2 linked regions of the Rattus norvegicus genome follow. The protein of the gene in region 2 interacts with the protein of the main gene of each other region in a pairwise test. Links are inferred from orthologs where the notes say so. Each region holds a gene or a part of one and is shown on either strand. Other genes may lie near its edges.

The links.
Region 1: the proteins of Snap29 (region 2) and Stx12 interact in binary tests that used the Homo sapiens proteins (3 or more experiments, as listed by UniProt). The link is inferred for Rattus norvegicus from reciprocal best matches to the Homo sapiens genes SNAP29 and STX12.

Annotation. Positions count from the first base shown.
Region 1 is NC_086023.1:150,355,701-150,359,352, reverse strand, and holds part of Stx12 (syntaxin-12), read left to right. Parts: intron 1-2,897; coding exon 2,898-3,035; intron 3,036-3,590; coding exon 3,591-3,634; intron 3,635-3,652. UniProt on the Homo sapiens protein: SNARE promoting fusion of transport vesicles with target membranes. Together with SNARE STX6, promotes movement of vesicles from endosomes to the cell membrane, and may therefore function in the endocytic recycling pathway.
Region 2 is NC_086029.1:97,082,155-97,085,794, reverse strand, and holds the end of Snap29 (synaptosomal-associated protein 29), read left to right. Parts: intron 1-367; coding exon 368-525; 3' UTR 526-3,074; downstream 3,075-3,640. UniProt on the Homo sapiens protein: SNAREs, soluble N-ethylmaleimide-sensitive factor-attachment protein receptors, are essential proteins for fusion of cellular membranes.

The sequences.
Region 1 (3,652 bases), on a different chromosome or scaffold from region 2:
TGACTACTGTGGCCTTTTTTGAACCCCCTTTCTTTTTTTTTTTTGAACCCCCTTTCTTTTGAGACACTTATTTCACTGATGGTGCCCAAGATGAGTTTCAGCCTTCTTCACTGATTCTTCTCAAAGTTGGCATGCCCAGAGTTCTGCTATTGATCTTCTGATTTCCTTACCTCAGCCATTCTTCCCCAGGAGCCTCACTTATTTAATGACGTCAGTGCCATCTGAATAATGGTGGCGCCAGATAGTTCCCAAACTTGAGCTCCCAAGCCTTGGGTTACTTCATCATGCTGCCAGCTGCTATTACCAGCCCTTGTTCAACTCTGTTTCAGACTTATTTGTGGTGCTGGGGGTGGAATGCAGGGCCTTACCTATGCCGGATATGTGACCTACACTGAACTATATGTCCGGCTCTGGCTGTCTCCTCTTGAATGTATTACCTCCGTATAAAGTATGGTAGTAATGGTCTTATTCCGTTTCCCATTCAAACCCAGGAAATAAGTTGACTGAGGATATTTATCATCATAGAAATAATTGACAAATAAGGACTGGGTCTATATGACTCACAGGTATGCGCAAGATCTTTGGTTCTATCCCCAGCATAGGAAAGACAAAATGTGCCTTTTGATCTAATCACACTCATATAAATTTGTTCTAAAGAAAAGAATTTGAAGGAAAGTGTAAATTACTAATTATTACAATGAAGCTCACTTTTAACTTTATTTATAGTGATTTAAAACTGATAATAGTGGAAGGAATTTTTACAAAAAATGTAGTAAAAAAAGTTCTTAAAATGAAGGCAATAATTAAAATTTCTTATTTTAAAGAATATATTAGGGGTTGGGGATGTAGCTCAGTGGTAGAGCACTTGCCTAGCAAACGCAAGGCCCTGGGTTTGGTCCCCAGCTCCGAAAAAAAGAAAAGAAAAAAGAATATATTAATGCAGAAAGTATGATACACTTTAAAAATGGCATTTTGGGGCCTAGGGAAACTCAGTATGTATGGTTCCTTGATTTGTATGTATAAGGTCATGTGTTTGACCCAATGAGTAATTTTTATTTATTTGTTGGTTGGTTGATCTCTCTGTATAGTCCCGGCTCTACTAAAACTCTCTATGTAGACCAGGCTGGCTTCAAACTCACAGAGATCCACCTGCCTCTGCCTCCCCAGTGTTGAGCTCAAAGGCATGTACCACCATGCCCAGCTTCAGCAATTGTAGATGGTGAGGTCAGGAGTGGCGTTCTTTCCTTCCTGCCACAGTCCTCCTGGCTTTGCCCTGAGTGCTGGGATTACAGTCCACAGAATTCTTTGGGGTTGTTTGTTTGTTTGAGACAGAGTTTCACTGTGGCCTCTGGCTGGCCTAGAACTGACTTTCTCAGGCTGGCCTTGCACTCACTGCCTGCCTCTGCCTCCCAAGTGCTGGCATCAAAGGCGTACATCACTGTGTCCAGCCTGCTAAAATCTTCTTAATGCAGAGATGAAAATCCCAGAAGGAAGAAAACTTTCCTCACCTAAAGTGTCTTTCAGTATTGCTATCACTTCCCGGGTTTGAAGTGTGAGTCCTTCTGACCTATGCTCTTCCTCCGTCCTAGTCACCAAGTCATAATGTTTCTTAAACTCCTTTCTGGGCCCATTACTACCATTATGTCCTCTACCCGTTAAACTACATTGCTACAGTCATTTTTTTTATTGCTCATTCCAGCTAGCAAGCATCACAGCCTGGTCTCTACGTTAGTAGGTTGTCCTTGCCAGGCAGTGTCCCCCACTCAGTTGCTGTTGGTCGGCTCCTCAGAGGTGACCCTATGTGTACTAGTTTGACCTTTAGAACTGGCTAGTCAGCCCTTCCCTGCTTCCCTGTTTTTCTGTTTTAGTTCTCTTACCAATATACCTTTGGATCCAACCAAACTACCTTCTTTTTATTTTTTTTTTTTAAAGATTTATTTATTTTATGTATGTAAGTGCACTGTAGCTGTCTTCAGTCACACCAGAAGAGGGCATCAGATCCCATTACAGATGGTTGTGAGCCACCATGTGGTTGCTGGGAATTGAACTCAGGACCTCTGGAAGAGCAGTCGGTGCTCTTAACCACTGAGCCATCTCTCCAGCTCCGCCCCTTTGTTAAGTTCTGATATTTTCCAGCTTTATGATGTAGGAAAATAAGCTATTTAAAAAATATAGTATTTGTTGGCTGGGCAGTGGAGGCACATGGCTTTAATCCCAGCATTTGGGAGGCATAGGTAGGTGGATTTCTATGACTTTTGGAGGCCAGCCAGGACTGCACAGAGAAACCCTGTCTTGAAAAACCATTAAAAAAGAAGAGACTGAGGAGGAGAATGGAGAGGAAGAGCAGGAGGAGAAGAAGAATACAGTATTTAAGTCAGATGCGTAGCCCAGAGCGGGTTCTCGGTTTATAGTTAAGTAGTTAAATAAGTAGTGTTGTGAAGGTAACTATAAGTTATAAGTTTTTTTTTAAGTTCTTGAAATTTTTTAAAATTCAAAAAAAAACTATAAAGGAAAATAATGGTAATCTTCAGGAAAACTAATAACTTAGTATAGAAAAGTAGTTTTAATATTTTCCCCCCCCAAAAAAACTAGACGCTCTGAGCTCAAAGGCCTCCACTATGCATTTAGATTCTCCAGGGCCCAGATATTCCAAATTGCACTTCCATTTCAGTGTCGTGTAAACGTCACCTGGTTCCCACGCTCACCTGTATGTTCTTACGTGGGTTAACTGGGGATTTGACTCAGGAAGGAACAACTTAGGATTTAAGGAAAAGCCCGTTTTGTAATGACTTTTGTACCTCGAAATCTCTTAAGTATATAATTGTGCTTTTAATCAATATTAAACCAAATGAATCTGAGTTCTCTTGAGATTTAAACTTCTTGCTTACTGTCTTCAGCGCCAACAGAAGCTTCAGAAGGAGCGGCTCATGAATGACTTCTCGTCGGCCTTGAACAATTTCCAGGTTGTGCAGAGAAAGGTATCTGAGAAGGAGAAAGAAAGCATCGCGAGAGCGAGGGCTGGATCCCGTCTTTCTGTAAGTTGACTCCCCAGAGAGGCTTTTACCAGCCCAGAGGGTGCACCCAACACGTCCCCTTTCTCCACCAGAGAGGCTTTTACCAGCCCAGAGGGTGCACCCAACACGTCCCCTTTCTCCACCAGATAACATGCTTTATGTTCTCGGTCCAACTGAAAGGCAGATTTACTTCCTACCTTTGTTTTTTCATTGTTTTTAAAAGATTTATTTATTTATTGTGTATGGAGTTCTGCCTGCATGTACACTTGCAAGCCAGAAGAGGGCATCAGATCCCATTACAGATGGTTGTGAGCCACCATGTGGTTGCTGGGATTTGAACTCAGGACCTCTGGAAGAGCAGTCAGCACTCTTAACCGCTGAGCCATCTCTCCAGCCCCACTTTCTCCTATTTTATACTTGTTTCTTACTCAAGACAGATCGACAGAGTGTTATCCATCTTACAGATGCCATCAGAGTGGAGGGTTGTCACTCCTTAGTACTGAAGCTAAGGCAGCTCTTGTTTTGTGCATCTCTCATGTTTTTTGGATAACAGCCCGATAACCGTCTGTTTTCTAGGCAGAAGACAGGCAAAGAGAAGAGCAGCTCGTCTCATTTGACAGGTAAAAGTCACTCTTGCA
Region 2 (3,640 bases):
CAGGGGGGAAACGCCATATGGACTAGTGACCCCTGTGATCTTCTCAAGCAGAAACAGGGAGATCTCTGTGACCTCAGGGCCAGCCTGGACTGCTTAGTGAGTTACAGCCAGAGCTATATATCAAGATGATACTTAAAATAACAACAACAAAAAATCCCTCTTAACAGTGGTTGTCTGGAGAAAGGAGATACACGGTGGCCTCTCCCTACGTTAGCTACATATTACTGTGTGGTAAATATCTTTCTTTTCACTTCTGTGTATTGTGAGAAGCATATGCTACAAGCTGGCACACATATGGCACACAGCCTCTCAGGCAGGACTCTGTAATCCAGAGGCACTGTGACTGCCTGTCATTTCCTTCTCACAGATGAGCTGTCTGTGGGATTGGGCCGCCTAAAGGACATAGCCTTAGGAATGCAGACGGAAATCGAGGAGCAGGATGACATCCTTGACCGGCTAACAACCAAAGTGGACAAGTTAGATGTCAATATAAAAAGCACAGAAAAAAAGGTGCGGCAACTCTAGAGACACGAAGACGCTCTGCTCCGTCCTGATGAGAAGAGTCATAATCCGTTAAACTCTTATGGATGTCACTTAGTATGTAATGTAACACGTTTTCAAATGTGGGTCTTTGAAATTTTAGTATCAATGGGGAAAAAATGTATCTTCCACATTTTGGTAAGATCAACAAAGTTCTGTGAGCTGTCTGCTGAGTTTTAGTCTAAGCAGAGAATTATGAACACCTTGAGCCTTTGGTTACTGTGCTGGAAGGAGAGAAGGCACTGCGTTTCTAATTTCACGAGTGTCTGCAGAGCTGTGGGCAGAGTGTTGGTAAGCACTGCCTTTCACTTACCCATTAGTTATGTTTCTCACTCTGAGGCCTTACTGTGAATTCAGATGTGAAGGGACCCTGGGTTTGTGGCAGAAGGAAGGGTCCCTCCACATCTTCATATGTCAAGTCTTGTGGACATGCCTGCACACAAACTGAGCACATGGTAGCTCTCTCCCCATGAAAAGGATCCATGTTCTGTACAGAACTGAAATGTGTTGCCTTCATTGTCCCAACCCCCATCTTCTGTTCTCGTCCTGCACTTTAGCAGAAGGACTCAGAGCAGGATTGCTAGACATGACACCTGGGAGGGAGCGTGTGAGAACAGACGTGCCCTTCTTCCCACCGGTTCTCACCTCACTCTTTCCATCTCTGGTGGGGACTTTCTCCACCGGCTCAAAGCCAACTTGTCGGTTGGTTTGTGTGCATGGAGTATTACTTAAAAACCTCGACACTGAGCCCTGTGCCTCTGGGAATAGAACCAAAGGCCGTGTTTATTTGGTGCCTGGAGTCTCCTCATCCATCCCAGAGACCCACGCAGTCTCCATTTCTACAAAGTGCTCCACCTAGTTTTAGGACTTAGACCCCACAAATGATGCTCACCTCTGTCTGTCAGATGATTGGACCAAGAGGCCGGAGACTCTCTTAGCTAGCTAGTGTTTGCTCCCTTCAGTTTCCAAAAGAAAATATTTAGAAGCATTAATTAAAACTGATTCCTGCAAGAAATTTCCCTTGTGTTGGTACTGCCAGTAGAGTTACTAAAGCCACGGAACACCTGACTATATTAAAATCAAAGTCACGCATTTTGAAGAAGGTAAAGGGGACTTTTTAACTAGTAAGATATGTCAGAATCTAAAATGCCAGTGCCTTCTTGCCTTAAAACATGGCTCTTGTGCTGCTTGGGGATCCTTCCTTCAGCATTTGGAGTCTGTAGTCTTAAAGCAAAGCACGCAGTGGGGCTAGGGGTGCAGCTCAGTGGTCAATTATCTACCTTCTCTCCTGGGGCCTGGGGTTGGTCTCCACGGTTGGGGAGAGGATCAGAAGATGGGGTATCAGGACTATTACTGTTCATGTAGCAACATGAACTCACTCTTGTCCCAAAATATCCAACCTTCCTGAAAATACAGCAGCCACAGGCAGAAAGGGCCCAAACGTAAAGATCTGACTGAAGTGGACCTCTGTGAGTTCCAGGCCAGCCAAGACAATATATTCAGACCTGTCTCAAACAATGTAGAGAGAGACCAATCCATATGTATCTCCACTCCTAATTGTTTATTGGTGTTTTTTTTTTCTATGAAACCTTCTCATGTTCTAATAACTGTTCCTCTTTATCACCATCAGGCATAGCCTTGTAGAAATTAACAATCCCAAGAAATGAACACACGAGGATGCCTTCCATGGGCATCCTAGTGGGAATCAGCTGACTGAGGCTAAGGGACATTTTATGAACCTTTCTTTGTTTTGCTAAATGAATGAAGCCAATCGCTCCTTTCCCAGTCTTTCTTTACTCCATGAATGTGAAACTGTGAAACCGTGTTCCTGTAAACCATTAGAGGTCCTTGTCCATTTTGTCCTGTTCCTCAGACTCTGTGGTCCTCTGAAGTTGTCTGTTGGCCTGCTGGAGACTGGCTGGAGCAGGTGCTGCCTTATAAAGCAGGGTCGTTTGCACATCACAGACAACAAAGGACTTGGGGAAGCTCCAGAACCAGGTCTGCTGGCTGACACTCTAATCACAGCACTTAGGCCAAGGTGGAAGGGTGGCTATGAGTTCCAGGTTCAGGGTAAGATCTTGTCTCAAGAGAATCAGTGACTGTGGATGGTGGGAGAGGAAGGAAAGACTCACTCCTGCTCTCTGGCCTAGCAAGGGTTAGTGCTGGGGAGGTGGCAAGCATGAGTGGAGTGGACAGACCAGTGAGCTACTTGCCATGCGAGGTCTGCAAGACAGCCTGAGACACCCCGCCTTCAGAGAGGCGGCATTTGTAACCTTAGGTTAGCTGTGTGCTACGTGTACCACCAAAACAAGTGCACTGTCCTCCAGAGAAGACTAACAGCTACTGACCTGTAACTCACCAGCATTGGAGTGACCTCGTCAATTGGTTTTCCTCGTTCTGTAGGAGAGGCCTGAAGTTCATTCATGTAACAAGTAGAACAAAAGATCAGAGCATCTTTATTTCCCCTTCTCTTCTTATAACTGTGCAATTTTAAATGTATAATGTATCACTTCAGTAAAAAAAAAAAAATTCTACTTTGCTTGAATAAGCCCTTTTCTTCAGAGGTGCGTGCGTGAGTGAGTGTGTGTGTGTGTGTGTGTGTGTGTGTGTGTGTGTGTGTGTGTGTGTTTCTTGTGCCCCAGCATAACACATGTGGAGGTGTTAGGACAACATTCAGGAGTTGGTCTCTCCATCACTTGGCTCCCAGAGGTCAGACTCAGGTGGTCAGGCTTGGAGGCAGCTGTCTTTACACAGTGAAGCTTCTCACCAGCCTGAGCCTTCTGACTTTGGGATAGAAAACTCCGAAATGAAGAAAGATTTAAGTGTTCCAAGCCGGCCAGAGAGATGTCTCAGCAGTCAAGATCATCTGGCTGTTCTTCCAGAGGATCCGGGTTCAACTTCCAGCAATCACATGGTGGCTTGATTTGGTGCCCTTTTCTGCTATGCAGGCATAGATGCAGGCAAAATTCTGTATACATAGTAAATAAATAAATAAATCTTAAATTAAAAAAAGTGTGGCATGCTCACAGGCTAACCGGTTCTGTAGCACTGCCTCACGGTGTCCCAAAAGCAGCCCCGATACGCAGATGAGAGTGCCCGT